Linked DNA regions of Arabidopsis thaliana. The protein of the gene in region 1 interacts with the protein of each later gene in a biochemical or structural test. Each region holds a gene or a part of one and is shown in the gene's direction. Other genes may lie near its edges. The genes, in order: SYP121, SNAP33, SYP61 and VAMP721.

Evidence for each region.
Region 2: the proteins of SYP121 (region 1) and SNAP33 form a complex in vitro, tested with the Arabidopsis thaliana proteins (2 studies listed by BioGRID).
Region 3: the proteins of SYP121 (region 1) and SYP61 form a complex in vitro, tested with the Arabidopsis thaliana proteins (one study listed by BioGRID).
Region 4: the proteins of SYP121 (region 1) and VAMP721 form a complex in vitro, tested with the Arabidopsis thaliana proteins (one study listed by BioGRID).

Annotation. Positions count from the first base shown.
Region 1 is NC_003074.8:3,728,805-3,732,753, reverse strand, and holds SYP121 (syntaxin of plants 121), read left to right. Parts: upstream 1-1,502; 5' UTR 1,503-1,885; coding exon 1,886-2,459; intron 2,460-2,747; coding exon 2,748-3,214; 3' UTR 3,215-3,449; downstream 3,450-3,949. Other genes in the region: AT3G11830 (TCP-1/cpn60 chaperonin family protein), read right to left, coding at 6-20; AT3G11825 (Bifunctional inhibitor/lipid-transfer protein/seed storage 2S albumin superfamily protein), read right to left, coding at 690-992; AT3G11810 (uncharacterized protein), read right to left, coding at 3,889-3,949. UniProt on the Arabidopsis thaliana protein: Vesicle trafficking protein that functions in the secretory pathway. Together with SYP61, regulates the post-Golgi trafficking of the aquaporin PIP2-7 to the plasma membrane, thus modulating cell membrane water permeability.
Region 2 is NC_003076.8:24,621,521-24,626,210, forward strand, and holds SNAP33 (soluble N-ethylmaleimide-sensitive factor adaptor protein 33), read left to right. Parts: upstream 1-1,727; 5' UTR 1,728-2,003; exon of another isoform or gene 2,004-2,223; intron 2,224-2,427; 5' UTR 2,428-2,506; coding exon 2,507-2,986; intron 2,987-3,119; coding exon 3,120-3,213; intron 3,214-3,305; coding exon 3,306-3,436; exon of another isoform or gene 3,437-3,648; coding exon 3,649-3,846; 3' UTR 3,847-4,111; downstream 4,112-4,690. Other genes in the region: AT5G61200 (myosin heavy chain-like protein), read left to right, coding at 1-141, 243-410, 505-561; AT5G61220 (LYR family of Fe/S cluster biogenesis protein), read right to left, coding at 4,537-4,690. UniProt on the Arabidopsis thaliana protein: t-SNARE involved in diverse vesicle trafficking and membrane fusion processes, including cell plate formation. May function in the secretory pathway.
Region 3 is NC_003070.9:10,014,015-10,018,602, forward strand, and holds SYP61 (syntaxin of plants 61), read left to right. Parts: upstream 1-1,841; 5' UTR 1,842-2,011; intron 2,012-2,392; 5' UTR 2,393-2,418; coding exon 2,419-2,472; intron 2,473-2,552; coding exon 2,553-2,666; intron 2,667-2,736; exon of another isoform or gene 2,737-2,821; coding exon of another isoform or gene 2,822-2,854; coding exon 2,855-2,968; intron 2,969-3,064; coding exon 3,065-3,252; intron 3,253-3,397; coding exon 3,398-3,488; intron 3,489-3,573; coding exon 3,574-3,639; intron 3,640-3,717; coding exon 3,718-3,828; 3' UTR 3,829-4,033; downstream 4,034-4,588. Other genes in the region: GRX480 (Thioredoxin superfamily protein), read right to left, coding at 1-33. UniProt on the Arabidopsis thaliana protein: Vesicle trafficking protein that functions in the secretory pathway; the fusion of phospholipid vesicles containing SYP61 and VTI12 is triggered by YKT61 and YKT62. Together with VTI12, required for membrane fusion.
Region 4 is NC_003070.9:1,330,966-1,335,384, reverse strand, and holds VAMP721 (vesicle-associated membrane protein 721), read left to right. Parts: upstream 1-1,733; 5' UTR 1,734-1,958; coding exon 1,959-2,148; exon of another isoform or gene 2,149-2,654; coding exon 2,655-2,796; intron 2,797-2,875; coding exon 2,876-2,996; intron 2,997-3,185; coding exon 3,186-3,248; intron 3,249-3,384; coding exon 3,385-3,528; 3' UTR 3,529-3,919; downstream 3,920-4,419. Other genes in the region: VAMP726 (vesicle-associated membrane protein 726), read right to left, coding at 1-53, 436-625; CTF18 (P-loop containing nucleoside triphosphate hydrolases superfamily protein), read left to right, coding at 4,299-4,419. UniProt on the Arabidopsis thaliana protein: Involved in the targeting and/or fusion of transport vesicles to their target membrane.

The DNA of each region.
Region 1 (3,949 bases):
CTTACCATCATCGATGCCATTGTAGATGCGTGACGAAGAGCTTCAGAGATGTGAAGAAAGTGAGAGAAATGGAGCAGAGAGAGAGAGAGAGGGGGGGAGTTAGGGTTTAGGTCTTCTGTTGTTCATATAGGAGCAACTAGATCGACCGATGTTCTTAGAACCGGACCGGCCGGTTGAACCGATAATTTCACTTAAAACGCAGCGTTTTATGGTCTGGACCCCACTTAGAAAGTCATAATTAAATTATTTAAAAGTTTCTCCATGCTTTTTTAATGGAGTTAAATTATGCAGACACAAAATTATGTAAAAATTGGCTTTCGACGCATATATTTGTTGATTTTTCACTTTTGCTCTGTTAATTTAGAATTTGGTAAACTCTAATGTGGAAAGGATGGCAATGGAGGTGGCTCTTTTGGGAGGAACTCAAAAGGATTATACTTTTTGAAGCAATACTTGTTGTTTGTAACTAAGCTACATGATAAATCAAAGTTTAATTAGTCATTAGTCTCTCTAGACAATTGTTCTTATATATTATGTGTTCTAACTTCTATCAAAACTATAAGGACAATTGACAAGTTATTAAACATAACGACTACAAAGTACAAACCATTAAACTACATAGTACAAATCTGATCAAAAATATGTTTGCTTTATTGTTGTTAATTATTTACTTTTATGTATCTATATATTTAACACTTGAACTCAGAGAATGCATCCTTTGGAAGACCACCACGACCACACGCATTGTTAACGTTGCGAGCAGCTATCTTTAGCTTGGGGGACTTGAGAAACAAACACATACATTTTTTTTTCATTATCATATTATAACAACAACGCTCATAAATGTAACCGTGAGTAAAGAATTCAGTTTTGTCTATGCACCATTGCATGTCCTTTTCACAATTACCCACACCACCGGCTACTTTGATGGGAGCCGGAAATGACGTCATGAATATGACCAAGGCAATGGACATCAATGGGATGATCTTCATGTCTGATTTATTAACCTACCAGCTGATGACAAAATATCTCAAATCAGGAACAATTAGTTTTGCAAAAATGTTGTATATTTTTTGTTTGTTTGAGATCTTTAAATAGGAAACTTGGAATCAACGATTTATACAACATATGGGTATCCTATAGATTAGGGAGGAAAGTGATTCTATTTTTATATGGTTGTTCATATTGAACATTTGACTTGTTCTTTATGTATATCGGTGTATGGTTGTTAGGATGTTGTATATCTTACAAATCGAACAATCGAAGTATTACAATTGCTTTCCGGTGCTCAAAGACTGGGCTATGGGTTTAGGCTTGGCCCTTTAACGGAGAAAAGCAAGGATTTGGTGGGCTTCTTTAAATTTGGTTCGATGGACGATTCTAAATTATGTAAATTAATTTGATATACAGTAACATTTTTGTTTTTTTAAATGTTTTCTGCTGAAGTCAATTTATCAATAAGTGTTTCGTATGGGCTAATGTATCCTTTGGATGATAAACTTAAAGTATCCAAAGCCGACAAAATAAAATTTTAAAAATCATTCAAATTACGAATGTTTTTTTCTTTCTCCAATTTATATATGATTTTGGGATCTGTTACCGTATATACTTACACGTACGGGACAAGGGCACACGGTTTCGCTTTCAACTTCACCTTCCCTTCTCCGCCATTGTTACTTTCTCAGAAGCTTCCAAGTCAACCAATAGAGACTTACTTGTTTGACTTCTTCCTCTCTTACCTCATAATCCTCCTTTTGGACTTTTCAATAAAACCGCCTACTTGAATCTGTACGACTTCTTCTCATTTTTCCATTCTTTAAGTCTTCCCGTTGATTCATTCCGATCTGAAATCTCTCTCTAGATTTCTCTATTTTTCGAATTTTAAATGAACGATTTGTTTTCCAGCTCATTCTCTCGCTTCCGCAGCGGAGAACCATCCCCTCGCCGAGACGTTGCCGGCGGTGGCGACGGAGTTCAGATGGCGAATCCCGCGGGATCAACCGGTGGTGTGAACCTCGACAAGTTCTTCGAAGATGTTGAATCTGTGAAAGAAGAGCTAAAGGAGCTAGATCGGCTCAACGAAACACTCTCTTCATGTCACGAGCAGAGCAAGACGCTTCACAATGCTAAAGCCGTTAAAGATCTCCGGTCTAAAATGGACGGTGACGTTGGAGTCGCGTTGAAGAAGGCGAAGATGATTAAAGTTAAACTCGAGGCGCTAGATCGTGCCAATGCTGCTAATCGGAGTCTCCCTGGCTGTGGACCTGGTTCTTCCTCCGATCGAACCAGGACCTCTGTCCTCAATGGTCTCAGGAAGAAATTGATGGACTCTATGGATAGTTTCAACCGATTGAGGGAGCTTATCTCGTCCGAGTATAGAGAAACTGTACAGAGGAGGTACTTCACCGTCACCGGCGAGAATCCGGATGAACGAACCCTAGATCGACTGATTTCCACTGGTTAGTTTAATCTTCCATTCAAATCACTTCCAGATTCAAGTAGAATCATCATCTAGGTTAACATATGATGACCAATTGGTTTCCGAACACTGATTCCAGGCTTCTTAGTATACAGTGTTGTGGTTGTGAAGAACAGTAACTTCAGATTTTGCGTTTAGACTATGAAAATGGATTTGTATATCTTATGTTGTGCTAGTTCCTAGCTGTTAGAGCTGGAATTGATCTCTGGATACTTAGACATGTTGTTACATGAGTGGTGGTGCGACATTGATACTGTTTTTGTTGCAGGAGAGAGTGAGAGATTCTTGCAGAAAGCAATACAAGAACAAGGAAGAGGAAGGGTGTTAGACACCATTAACGAGATTCAAGAAAGGCATGATGCGGTTAAAGACATTGAGAAGAATCTCAGGGAGCTTCACCAGGTGTTTCTAGACATGGCCGTGCTGGTAGAGCACCAGGGAGCTCAGCTTGATGACATCGAGAGTCATGTGGGTCGAGCTAGCTCCTTTATCAGAGGCGGAACTGACCAGCTACAAACCGCTCGGGTTTACCAGAAGAACACGCGAAAATGGACATGTATTGCCATTATTATTCTCATCATCATCATAACTGTTGTGGTTCTTGCTGTTTTAAAACCGTGGAACAACAGCAGTGGCGGCGGCGGCGGTGGTGGTGGTGGGGGTACCACTGGAGGAAGTCAACCAAATTCAGGGACACCACCAAATCCTCCTCAGGCAAGGCGTCTATTGCGTTGAAGTTGAAGTTGAAGTTGAGTTTCGTTATTTGCATATATATTCTTTCTTTGAAAAACCTTATTATCAAACCAGCTTTGTGTTACTACTTTCTACTGCTGGTTTGTTGTTAATCTCCCGTTTATTTGGTTTTTGTGAAAGAATTTAAAATGTGGGTTAGATGAGAAAATTAGTACAACATTCTCTTGTATCTATGTTTGCTATATGGGTTATATTTACTTGATGTGATTTCAGGGTTTATCGTTTCTTGTTCTATTTGGTTGAAGTATATGAGCCATTTCAAACCAAACGAGGTAATACCAACCGATAACACAAAAACTTCATTAGTCTTGGCATTTTCCAAGTTCGAATATGATACTAAATCTAGACTTTGATGCTATGATTTGTTCTGGGGTGTACTCTTAACATTTTGTTGACTTTTCAGTTGACTGATATGTTGATCCTACTGTGATACTTTTCTTTCTTTTTTTTTTTTTTTTTTTTAATCCCAATTCTGATTCAGATTACAGAAGTTTTCAAGTCTCAAGAACAGTAAAGAAGATCAATATACGTACAAGGGTTACAAACTTGCATTATCATACAAGAAGACCAGTTTTCCAAACACTACCTTAAAACATAACAACAAAACAAACAAGATCATCATCATCATCATCATCATCATCATCATCATCATTTCATCAGATGTTGTTGTAAGCTACAGAGACCAAGTGAGGAACTTTACCATCATCAAAAGGCAAG
Region 2 (4,690 bases), on another chromosome or scaffold:
AGTGAAGCGCCTGTAAATCCAGATTGTTTCCATGACATCATCAAGAAATTAGAGGTTTTCCAGGATGGGAAACTGAGAGACAAAATGGAAGATATGGCAAGACAGATACTTCAATACAAAGATCTTGTAAAGCAGCTCAAGGTATTAGTTACCAAACAAAACAGTAGAATCAAAAATTTGGTGCCTTTTTGCAGCGTCACACATATTCTAACTAGTTAAACCATTATTTTGTTATGCCTAAGGATGAGTTGAAAGAAGAGAAACTAAAGGCCAAGGAAGAAGCAGAGGACTTAACACAAGAAATGGCTGAATTAAGATATGAAATGACATGTTTATTGGAGGAAGAATGCAAGCGGCGTGCATGCATCGAACAAGCATCATTACAAAGAATAGCCAATCTAGAAGCACAGGTACTTGCTTCTTTATATCTTCCAATTTTTTTATTTTTTTTGAGCCATCAGATATTGTTGAAGGAACCTAACAAATATCCATTTTCTTGTTAAGATCAAGAGAGAGAAGAACAAGTCCTCAACTTGCTTAGTTCCTCTTCCTGCTGTATAAACCAGCTAAGGTTCGAGTTAAACTTGAAATCACAGTTAATGCCTCAAATAAGCCTTTAAGCTATAAGGTTTGAATTCTTATGTATTTAAAGTGTACATAATCCAATTTGATTGGAAATTGGAATATAGATTTCATCCCTGTGATTATGTTTATATATGGAAATTGAGTTTTACAAGAGTGAAACTGCTTCTTCATGTGCCTACCAAAAAAAAAAACTGCTTCTTCATGTGGCTTCTAAGTGTTTAATTACGCCTTCAGCAACATGTAGAGATCTTGAGAAATTGACATGAGTCTCTAGAGAATGTTGAAAGCTGTGGTCGTTGACCAAGAAGATTCTTACTATTTGACTCTATTTGATAGGCCTGTAATGAGCCTAGGTCAATAAGGCTGAGTTTATTTGATGGCCCGTTTTTCTCTCTTTTATTGTTCTTCTTTTTCTTGTGAAAATAAAGAAATCTGGAAGCGTTGTTGTATCATCATGTATGTGCAGAGTCTAGTAACCTTGTTGTTGATGCAAAGGGATAAATGAATGGGTCAAGGAAAAGAACCTGTTGTCTTTATTGTTAATCAAGACACTTGTAGATTTGTTGTCTAACCTAATCCAACTTGACTTTAAGCAAAAACATATTCCAACTTGTTCTTCACCAAAATGATATGTTGAAATATCGTATCTACTAGGACATCAAGATTTTGTTGTAGTCGTTATCAATGTAACCGGTAACAAATAAAAATTAATGAGATAAATTAGGCATGATCATATCCATAGATATTGTCAAACAATTTTCTATCTTCAAGTAGTTTTTGGTTTTGGGCGAAAATATGTTCTCTTTGACAAATTCAACAAAGACCATTCTTTTTGGATGACAAAATTGACAACTTACCCATTCTTTTTGGGCTCATACAATTTATCAACTAAACCATCAGTACAAAAAAAGAAGCAGAAATTAGAAAAATATAAGAAAATGACTCTTTCTCTGTAAGAAAAAATCCAACTACGTTTATTATATCCACAATTACGTCCTATATACAATTAAAAAGATCTAAATTGCTCTATTTTCGTTAGAAAGTAGTTACTTTTTACTTTTTTAGAAGTTTGATCTAGAAAAAAAAAGAATTATATATATGACCGTTTTAGATTTGAATTAAATGATTTTGTTTTATTTATTAATTGATCCACGTTCCTTTCTACAATTTGTTTTTTTTTTAATCTCCTTGATAAATTTTCGTCAACACATACCCAAAGACCTCCTTGTTGTACTCTCAAATTCTTGGGTCGTTCTGAGTCGTCTCCGCGTTAAATCTTTTCCCTTTTTGATCCTTTCTTCCTTTCTTCTTCTTCTTCGCATTGATTTGGTCCTCCTTCCTCTTCTATTCTATTCATTAAGAACCTAATCTTCATCTTCTCCATCTTCTTCTTCACGGACTCCACTTCGCTCATCCAGGTAACCACAATCTGCTCTCTATCTTTTGCTTCAAAATTCTCAGTTCCTTTCTTCTCAATTTCCGTCTGCTAGATCCTGGGCTTTCGATTTGTTCCGTTCCTCTTCTGCGATTGTTTCGTTCCAGAGAGAATTATCGAAATAATTAAGCGAATTTTGTGTGTGGTTTTCATAGTCTTGGGTTCTTTAGCCGCTACATATACTCAATTATGCCCAAAATTAGGTTTAAAATTGATTAACTAAAACTTATACTTTTTGGTCTCGTCTTATGTTATCGTTTAAATTGTTCTTAGAAGTGAAATCATTCGATGCTACGTTTTTGACTTGTTGCTTTACTTTATCTATACCTTTGATTTGATCAACTTTTCTCTTAGCTTACAAGTTAGAATCAAAGCATCAATCCTGATTACTGTTTTGGTTTCTGCAGGAAGGTTTATTAGTAGTAACCAATCCAAGTGTTCCTTTTGTTTGAAGCAACAAGCTTTGTGATATTATCCTGAGAGACAATGTTTGGTTTAAGGAAATCACCGGCAAATCTTCCCAAGCATAACTCAGTCGACCTCAAGTCTTCCAAGCCAAATCCTTTCGATTCAGATGATGAATCTGACAACAAACATACCCTTAACCCTTCTAAGAGGACTACCTCTGAACCCTCTTTGGCTGATATGACAAACCCTTTTGGTGGTGAGAGAGTTCAGAAAGGAGATAGTAGTTCATCCAAACAGTCATTGTTTTCGAACTCCAAATACCAGTACAAGAACAATTTCCGTGATTCTGGTGGTATTGAAAACCAGTCGGTTCAGGAGCTTGAAGGTTATGCTGTGTACAAGGCTGAAGAGACTACGAAATCTGTACAAGGTTGTTTGAAGGTAGCAGAAGATATAAGGTCTGATGCTACCAGAACTTTGGTCATGTTACACGATCAGGGCGAGCAAATCACTAGGACGCACCATAAAGCCGTTGAAATCGACCATGATCTCAGTCGTGTGAGTTTTTCTTCCTTCTGGTTCTTGATTATAAAATGGAAACATTCAATCTTTTTCTGAGGACATTAGTTGGTGTGAGATAAGAAGACGGTAGACATTTGATGCTGAAACTAGTTGGATTTTTGGTTTTCAGGGTGAGAAACTTCTTGGAAGCCTTGGAGGCATGTTTTCAAAGACTTGGAAACCAAAGAAGACTCGTCCTATAAATGGTCCCGTCGTAACCAGAGGTTTGCTTCTTGGTCATTGATATCTCAATTCTTCTCGCAGCTATTTTACTTTCACCTAATTGCTGAATCCTTTATTTTGTGTTTTTGCTTAGATGACTCACCAACGAGAAGAGTTAACCACTTAGAGAAAAGGGAAAAACTGGGACTGAACTCAGCACCCAGAGGACAATCAAGAACCCGAGAACCACTCCCCGAATCAGCTGATGCTTATCAGAGAGTGGAGGTTTGGACTTCTCTTCCCTCTCTTCAATTTTTCCTTTCATAAGAACATTACTATACTCCTGCATCTGATATGAGTGATGCATGAACTCTTTATCTGTGGTCCTGTAATGCTAACAATTTGAGACATTGATGACTCATCAATGATGAGCATATATATCTGAGTGAAAAACATGTGTTTTGGACGCCACTAAACTTAATACTGGTTTATTACAGATGGAAAAAGCTAAGCAAGACGATGGGCTTTCAGACTTGAGTGATATACTCGGCGAGCTAAAGAACATGGCTGTTGACATGGGAAGCGAAATCGAGAAGCAGAACAAAGGACTTGACCATCTTCATGATGATGTTGACGAACTCAACTTCAGAGTGCAACAATCAAACCAACGTGGTCGCCGTTTGCTTGGAAAGTAGATGAACAGAGGGTTTATATGTTCATTACACTCATTCCTCGTTTGTTTTATTCTCTATGAAGTTGTTCTTTAAAACTGGAAAGATTCTTATCATGTTAAATACATTATTGCTATCTGTGTTTGTATTTGATCTTGTGACAAAAAACCAAAAAACTTATTGATCAAACAGAAGCAACTTTGGTATCGTTTTTATCTGTATCATAAAGCTTTCTCAAGAAATTCTGATAATAGATGAAATTATGAGTTTTAATCTCAGATTTATAACCTAAAAATATCAGTGCTAGAATACGACATAAGAATACAGAAACTCCAGACAAGTTGGAACATATGTTATGCAACAACTGCACAATCATGTGAGATTATTCAAAAGAACAAAAAAACCAGGAACTCTTCATTCCCTTTAGTCTTCCTCAGCTACAATCCAAGGGATATATTCCACAATGTCCTCTTCTTCACTTGTATAATGTCTGAAGCCATAAAACACAAAGACTACTAATGAGAACTAGACAAAGCAATCTGACATAGTTGGAAAGAACTATGAATAGAGGAAATAATAATCTCATACAAACACCACTTGTTCCCGAATCATATTCTCAAGCCACAAACTCGACAATCAATGAATATAAAGTGGCTCCAACATGACCATTAAAAACAAATAGCTTTGGAGGATATTGTAATGACAAACATACATCTACTGAAGCTTGACTTCCATGATGTTCTTGGTCTTGGGAGGATATGCCAAGTAAACCTTGAGCACTCTCTCAGCAACAAAAAGCTGTTTTTTAGCTTCAGCATAAGCCTCAGTCACCTTCGATGGGTCAGTGAGATTCTTGTTCATGCGGAAG
Region 3 (4,588 bases), on another chromosome or scaffold:
ATAATTTCTTGCACAAGAAATCGTTCCTTGCATTTTCAAGTATGTTTTTAAAGATAGATACCAATTAGGAAAGGAAGGTTTTGTTATATATACATGAAGAAAGAGAGATCAGAGAGGAAAGTCTAGCGTCAACGATGGTTACGTAAGGATGTGCGTCACAGGAAGCTATGGGTGATGGTGCTGTTTACGTCACTGGATTGGAGTGGACTTAGTCATAGGACCGTGTCGTTATATCGTATCACATGTTTCACGCTGACTTTTTGGATCCCACTTTATTCTTTTAATAAATCTGCACGTTTTAATTTTGGTTCCTCTCTACTTTACATAATATTTTACTGCTTTTTTCATATCAATAAAAAATAGGAGAATTCTCAGAATTTATTACTATTATATTTGGGTTGTTTCGAAACTTTCGATAGATGGTTGTATACTTAGAAATATTCGCATGTGACGACCACATAGTGGATGCTTGCTTCTTTCGATCTCGACCATCAAAACGGAATCACCAGACTATATACAACAATTTTGGTAATCTAATACTAAAATTGTAGAAAACACAATTTTGTTTTGGGATTGCTAAATAAATACACTAGAGATGCTAGAGAGACCTAGCCTAAACTTTCGATATTTTCCGTTTTATCATTCAAGTAATTAATATAACATTTAGGTGTAAAGGTTAATAATATATATGACATTATATTCTTAGTGATCAAAAATCTAAACATAAACTTTTAGGAAAAAGACATATACTACTTTCCAAATTAATGTAACACGATCATGTCATATAGTAATGACCATGTTTGGATGAAAGTGGTAATTATGAGACGTGATTAAGTACTCTTGTTGAATCCTTCTTTTAAACCAATACTAAGAATAAGTTTGACATTATTGTCATATTATTTGTACTCGGACTTTCCGAGTAGTAGTGGAGCCTTATTAACTAATAATAATAATACGCATGACAGGAAAAAACTGAGAAGGTCATTTAGAAAGAACCATCGTCGAAGGATGGACGGTGGAAAAGTCGGTAGACGTCAGCACCAAGCCACCAACTAATTTGGTTTGTTTTAATGGAATCATGACGTCTTTCTTCTTTAAAACTCATGTCACCCATTTCTTCCTAAATTTGGACTATTATATGATTATGGGAATTGCATTTCTTTATTAAAGTCACGTGTCATCCTTTAACTTTATAAGTTCTTCAGGTTCCAAACTCCAAAGCCTTTCCAATTTTATCGTTCCACCAAATCCTGAAATGAAAGTTCAACATCCATCATGGTCCCAAAACGTTAAAAATATTTTAAAAAATAGAGTGTGGGGGATTTAAAAATTCATGACCGCTAGTAAAATATACAAATTTTCAACAAAACAAATTGCATGACCGCTTTGTTGGAGATATTATATTTACAGTTGCCTAACGTGAGAAGTTTGCATAACAAAACTAATCACAAACTCACAATATATACCATTCTTCTGTGCACCGGAAATCTATAACACTTAAAATCTTAAATGTGTAAACCCTAAAATTTTACCATACAATTTTTGAATTGAGAAAACAATTATTTGTTTTTGGTTTCTAGGATTAGTAAACAATCATTTATAGTAGCATCGGATTTTTCATGGACTATGAATCTTCTCAATAGACAGACTTAGGTCACGCTTTAACCAACAAAAACTCAGCAAGAGTGGTTTCTTTCTTCTATAACAAATGCCAAATATGCGTTTCAATATAACCATTTTCTATAACAGTTAATAATCAAAATTTTGTAACGTAGAAAATGGTCTTTATTAATACTGTCGTAGATTTGTAATAACTTATTGGGCTCTGTGGTCTCTTATTGGGCTTTATAAGATTCTCCAGTAGCCCAAAAATAAACTTTCAGCGAATCTCAAAGCCAACCGCAGGTGATGCGTTTTGCTATGTAAGAGAGACGAATCTCACGCCGGAATCTCTTTTACTTCACCGTCGTTTGTTCTCCGTCGCGTCACCTTTCGATTAATTCCTTCACAGGTAAGGAAGCTTCTTCAATTTTCCTCTTACATCAATTCTCCTTTCGCATTGATCCTTGTCGTTATCGTCTCTAAACGCAAGCTTTTTCTCCAATGTTTGTGTCGATCTTAAAGCACATAGATTGATAAAGCCGTTCCGGTTCTATTGAATAAAATTCTAACCCTAGATTAGCCAGGATTTAATCGGAATTTCTCTGGATCTAATAGTTTTGTCGAGTTTGATCATTGTGACTTAGGAACTCTAATTTTGCAATCGTAGAATTTGCGCATCTCCAGAACAATCCCTGCCAATGAGATGAAATTTCAAAATTCTGTTTCTGTAACTAACTTTGCATAAGAACTTGTTTCTATAGCTTAATCAGCTGTGTTATTTGGTGTATAGGGTAGCAAAATTTTGTTGATTTCGGGATGTCTTCAGCTCAAGATCCATTCTACATTGTTAAAGAAGAGATTCAGGATTCTGTAAGTTGTTCAGAAATTGCCAGAGATGTTTTTTTGTTTAGATTTTGAAGTACAGTGATTGATGGATGATGCTTTGTTAGATTGATAAGTTGCAATCTACATTCCACAAATGGGAGCGTATCTCTCCCGACATGGGTGATCAAGCACATGTGGCGAAGGAGCTTGTTGCTACTTGTGGAAGCATTGAGTGGCAGGTACTCGTATTTAGTCACGGTTCTATTAATCTCGTCTTTATATATAATTTAGCTGGTGTGGAATAGGATTTGTGTTTGTAAATGGATCTTGTAGGAATGTATTGGCCCTTATTTACATGATTAGAAATTCCAATTGAATATATTCGAGTCCTTTCATGGCTATTGAAGCTGTTTTTACTGATAGGAAGGTAGATGAGCTGGAAAAAGCGATTACTGTTGCAGCAAAAGATCCTTCATGGTATGGCATTGATGAAGCTGAGCTTGAAAAACGGAGGAGATGGACTAGTAATGCTAGGACACAGGTATGTTCTCTAAGTTTGTTATGAATACTGCTTTACATAGTGGCATAAATTTGTTGTTAGTTGACTTGTGCAAGACGATTACGATTTTTTTTATAGGTGCGGAATGTGAAGTCTGGTGTTTTAGCTGGAAAGGTTAGTTCTGGAGCAGGTCATGCAAGTGAAGTGCGTAGAGAACTAATGAGAATGCCAAACTCGGGTGAAGCAAGTAGATATGATCAGTATGGAGGGAGAGACGATGATGGTTTTGTACAGTCAGAATCAGATAGGCAAATGCTGTTGATAAAGTAAAGCTCTCTCTGTGTGTTCTACATTGTTTTGCAGTCTTTTCTTTGCTTCTGAGTTTATAACGATTTTAGACTGAAGATTGTAGCATAGTGTTGTTCAAAAACAGAGTAGTGCCATAACTTAACATCATTTTTTTCACTTCAGGCAACAAGACGAAGAATTGGATGAGCTTAGTAAAAGTGTACAGAGAATTGGAGGAGTGGGGCTCACTATACACGACGAACTCGTTGCACAGGTTAGTAATATGGGAAGATGATTTAACAGTAGGACGTATCAGTAGAGATCAGAAACATCAAGTTTTTGTTATTGTGTGTGTTCAGGAGAGAATAATAGATGAATTGGATACGGAGATGGACAGCACAAAGAACCGTCTTGAATTTGTTCAGGTAAACCCCTTAAAGGTCTTGTTGCTGGTTTGATTGCAGAAAGTAAAAACTGAAAGAATGAAAATGGTATTGTGACAGAAAAAAGTGGGAATGGTAATGAAGAAAGCTGGAGCAAAAGGTCAAATGATGATGATATGTTTCTTGCTCGTCTTGTTCATCATCCTATTCGTTCTTGTCTTCTTGACCTAAAGAACAGAGCCGCGGGATCTTATAGATGGGAGTTTAATGTCTTACATTATCATGTTTGTGGTGAAACAAATGGAATATTTACATAAGGTTGTCTGTTTTTTCTTCTCCTATCCAATCCCACATATAATTTTGAACTTTGGCTGTGTGATCTCTAGAGAACCTGAAATTAAATACTTTCATAGCTTGATCCCATGGCTAAGTTCCTTAAACAATACAAATCAGTCTCATCAAAAGTAAGCCGTCAAAAACTTCCCTATAGAATACACCTTTATTATGCCTTCTTTAAGTTTCCGCAATGTCTCCTTTGCTTCTTCAGTTCTGTAACGAAAAAAAAATTCCGAAAGCAGACTCCATAAGAAACATCTAAAGACAACAAAATGACTCCAAAAATAAAGAACCGGCAAAAATCTAACAATTTGTGGCAACAAACCCGGCTACTGCTCAAAAGACCACCCTTAATAGTTCATAATTGAAGGCAAATGCTTCAACTGATCGATCATCAACGAATCCAAAGGACTCACTCACTATAAGCATGATCTCCGGAAGAATCATTGCCGGATATAATTAGTTGAATAACTGATTTATTGTTGAATCTTTCTGATACTATCGTTAAACTCTTATGACAACGCTTTTTTTTTTTTTTTGTGTGCAAAATGACAACGCTTTAGATTGTAAAATGAATAATGAGTCATTGTATCATTAATAAGAAGAGATTTGGGCTGATAAGGCCCAACGTAAGCCCATAAAAGAATCCGTCGGC
Region 4 (4,419 bases), on another chromosome or scaffold:
GAAAGCCATTGGTATCTGCCTCCCAGCAGATTCAATAACAACAACACAATAGGCTGCATAACAACAGAGGGAAATGAGAAATCTTATTGTCACATTCCAACTAAAGCAAATTCGTGCATTGGACAACCAAAGCTTTCCAAACATAAAAATCTTCACAATAAACATTCCAAAGAAGCCATGCATAAAGCTGATTAAAATCAGAACGAAAACAACAGATTGCATATCCAATCAAGACATGGCATTGATTAGAAGAAAATCTGAATATAACACAATGCCACAAGAATCGAGAGCAACGAATATCCTACGAAATTCAAAGCTACACTGTTCTCGAACATTTGATTTCGAAACTAAGCATTCATAAGAAAACAGATGAACCAAGGCATAAACAGAGAAATACAGAGCAAAATCGACACAGATCGGGAGATAGAGACTTACTGAAGCCATTATCAGCGAGATAATTGAAAGTGTGACCGTCGCAATTGTAGGTAAATTTGTTGTTCGAGGACGGAAGTTTCTGGAGACACTGAGCGGCGACGGAGGTGAAATTGCCCTTGAACTCGGTATACTCGGCGAGGATCACCGTACCGCGAGCGACGAAGCTGTAGATCAACGATTGTTGTCCCATTCTTCCTTTTATCCAGATGAGAGAAAGATAAAAAAACGAAACCTAAGAACACCACAAAAATCCGATCGAATTGATGAGAGAGATTAGTAAGCGATGTAAAAATACACAAGGGAACGAGGGGTAGCGATGGAGAAAGCAGGACGCAGAGATCGGAGAAGAGAAACTATATGAGAGCGCTGGATTTGCGCGAGTAACAGAGACATTATTTTCCCTTTGGTAACGTTCAAATTTTGAATTTTTAAATATAAAAAGTAAATAAAAAGAAAAATTCATCATTTGTATAGTCGAAAATTGCCTTAATAAACTTTATTTTGGTAAATAATTCACGTCTAATTAATAATAGTATCTTCATGTTTTTACACCACGGTGGCTCGTTTTTCAATTCAAATGTGAAATGTTTATCAATGAGCATTTTAAAAAACAAATATATATATATATATATATATTATATATTGATTTTTTATAAAGAAAATTGCGATGTGTAAGGGATATTTGAGTTGTTAAATTTTCTATAAATTATATGTTATGTTACTTAAAAGAACGTTCAATTGATAATGTTGCAAACCTTCCTACCAAAAAAATTAAAATAATGTTGCAAACCTTTTCTTTCATTCCAATTCACTAACCTTCTATTCTAACCACAACCTAACTACCTAAATTTCAATTATTTGATTGTTGATCAAAATCTTTAGGAACACGTTAAACAAATTAATTAGCAGGTTCTAAACAATGCAGAGCAATTGTAGATGACAAGAGATAACGGTAGAAGTTCGAATTTTGTTGCTGTAACAAGATACTATGACTATGAGCTCCCCCCGTCCATTAAGAATTAAGAAATTTGGTTAATTACAACATTTGTTTTTATGTTTAAGCCTTTTGTTCGTAACTGAGCTAATACTGGAATCACTGATCAATGATGAATTTGGAAAAAAAGATATTTTGAGGAAGACAGAGACAGACTCTCTTCGACCATGGGACCTGAACTTGTCCTAAAGTTGGTAATTACTAATTTGTGCCATCGGCAGAGTCCACGAGCTTTTTGGCTGGATCCGGGCGGGTCCAACTTTCTCGACATTTGTTTGATCTCTCCGTTTTGAAATTGTTTTTTTTTAGTCCTTAAATTCAAGGTTTTATACTATTTTTGACCCAATCTGACTACCTTAAATGACAACTTTACCCTTGCCCGCTTTTCAACTTTTTCTTCTCCCATGTCCACTTTAGTCCTCGTTTTGTTCTTTCATAGTCTTCTAGATCTGTAGTTTTTTTCCGCGACCGCCCAAAAAATTCTCTGATCAGACGGTCGATTGGATCGGAGATTTAAGGTAAAGAAAAAATGGCGCAACAATCGTTGATCTACAGTTTCGTAGCTCGCGGCACGGTGATCCTCGTTGAGTTCACTGATTTCAAAGGTAATTTCACCTCAATCGCTGCTCAGTGCCTCCAGAAGCTTCCGTCTTCGAACAACAAGTTCACCTACAACTGCGACGGTCATACCTTCAATTACCTTGTCGAAGATGGATTCAGTAAGTCACTTTTCGTTTGATCTATGCATAGGTTTTAATCTTACACCATTCGGTGCTTACCTCGATTTGTTTCTAGGTTTATTTGCCTAACCTATCGATTCGTATGGATTTGTGCATCCTGAGTAGTCTGATTTCACTGAGGAACCGCATGAACCAAGCTTTTAGGGTTAGATCTATATTTATTAAACGCAATAAATCTCTGTAGAGTCTTACCTGTATAATCACTCAGATTTGGACAGAATCCGTGGTAGCTTTGGTTGATACTATGTGGAAGAACACCAACATTGATCTGAGACAGGGTTTTTACTGGTTGCTTTATTTGCGTATAGTTTCCTAGGTCATGGGTTTTGGCTGGCTTCATTTTTCAATGAAAATCTGGGGTCTTATTGTAAGCTTTTGTGACTATCCTTTAGTTGTTGTAGCCATATCAATTTCATATTAAATCAATGTCACCTGATTATCCCGTAAGGGAAGACAAGGAGATTGATTTTGTTCCTGTTGTACAGCCTATTGTGTTGTTGCGGTTGATTCTGCTGGGAGGCAAATTCCCATGTCCTTTTTGGAAAGAGTAAAAGAAGATTTTAACAAGCGATATGGTGGTGGAAAGGCTGCAACTGCTCAAGCAAACAGCTTGAATAAGGAGTTTGGGTACTTTTTCATTATCTCTTCTATTTGGATGATCTTCTCTTTTATATTCGTGGACTGACTCTTTTTGGTAACTTTGAAGCTCTAAACTGAAAGAGCATATGCAGTATTGCATGGATCATCCTGATGAGATTAGCAAGCTTGCTAAGGTGAAGGCGCAAGTGTCAGAAGTTAAGGGTGTAATGATGGAAAACATTGAGAAGGTTTGAATCTGACCCTTTCTGTCCTCAATGTATATATTTACATCTATGGTTGACCCATCTGAAAGAGCTCATCTAGTCATACTAAGTTACTGTGAAATCAATTACTAATAATTCAATGCATTACATCTTACGGGAAATGTCCAGTTTACCAATGTAACACCGCTTACATATGCGACTCATTATTTGCAGGTTCTTGACCGTGGTGAGAAAATTGAGCTTTTGGTGGACAAAACCGAAAATCTTCGCTCACAGGTTAGACTCTCTCATACCCTTATCTCCTGCATCTATTTGCCTACACTCACACACAAAGATGAACATGCTTTTTGAGTTCATAGCTGACTCATCCTATTACCATATCTTGTGTCTAACTGAACTCAAACTGCCACAGGCACAAGATTTCAGAACAACAGGAACGCAGATGAGAAGAAAGATGTGGCTTCAGAACATGAAGATAAAACTCATAGTGCTCGCCATCATTATCGCACTGATTCTCATCATCGTGCTCTCAGTTTGCCATGGGTTTAAGTGTTAAGCCCAGAAAATTCAAAACTTCTGAGATCTTTCTCACTCGGTACATCGTAGTGCCTTCTCTTTTATTGTTCGATCTTCAATCTAATGTTTCTGCTTGAATTGGTTTTGTATAGATAGACATATATGTATGCTACTCATTTGCTATATTGCTTGCATCTGATGACATTGATCCCTTGCGAACCAGTCAGTACTTGACAAGAGATCCGAAACTATTAAATGATTTTGTTGACTGAAGATTGCATTGTGGTGGTGATGATAAAAATTTGAGATTGTATTGACGATTATACGGCGTGATGTGTGCTGGTTACTTTAAATTTAGATAAGAGTAGTGCCCTCTCTATATCGTTACTAGGGATGGTAGTACATATATATACGTACGTCATATTCCGACCACCAAGGTTGTTTTGTTCAAACTCCTCCCGCAACGCTTGAGTAGATCTTGTCGGCCATCGGGTCGTTTATGAGTTCAAACATACGTGTTTACTCTGCTATCAGTAGGAGCAACCAATACAGAGTTTAGTAGTACATACAGAAGCATCTTGTCAAGAAACAACAATCTGTAGTCACAATGGTATAAATATTTGGGCTATTTTAGTTAAGTGGGCCGAATATTTAATGGGCCGTAAAACCTAATTTGAGATCCTGCAACCAAAACTTTCCCGCTAAAACACTCTCATTCCCGCTCAAGCTCACACCAGATTCCGATTTTCACTTTTGTTCACCGAGCACCAAATCCCAACAAAATTCCGATACGGTCAATCATATCAGAGAATGGAATTCGATATCCCATTGCCGGAGGAGCTTGAGCTTCTAGAAGCCAATTCTCATTTCTACGAAGAAGAAGATGAGTACCTAAACTTTGAGGAGCCGCCATATCCTTACCCAATCGACG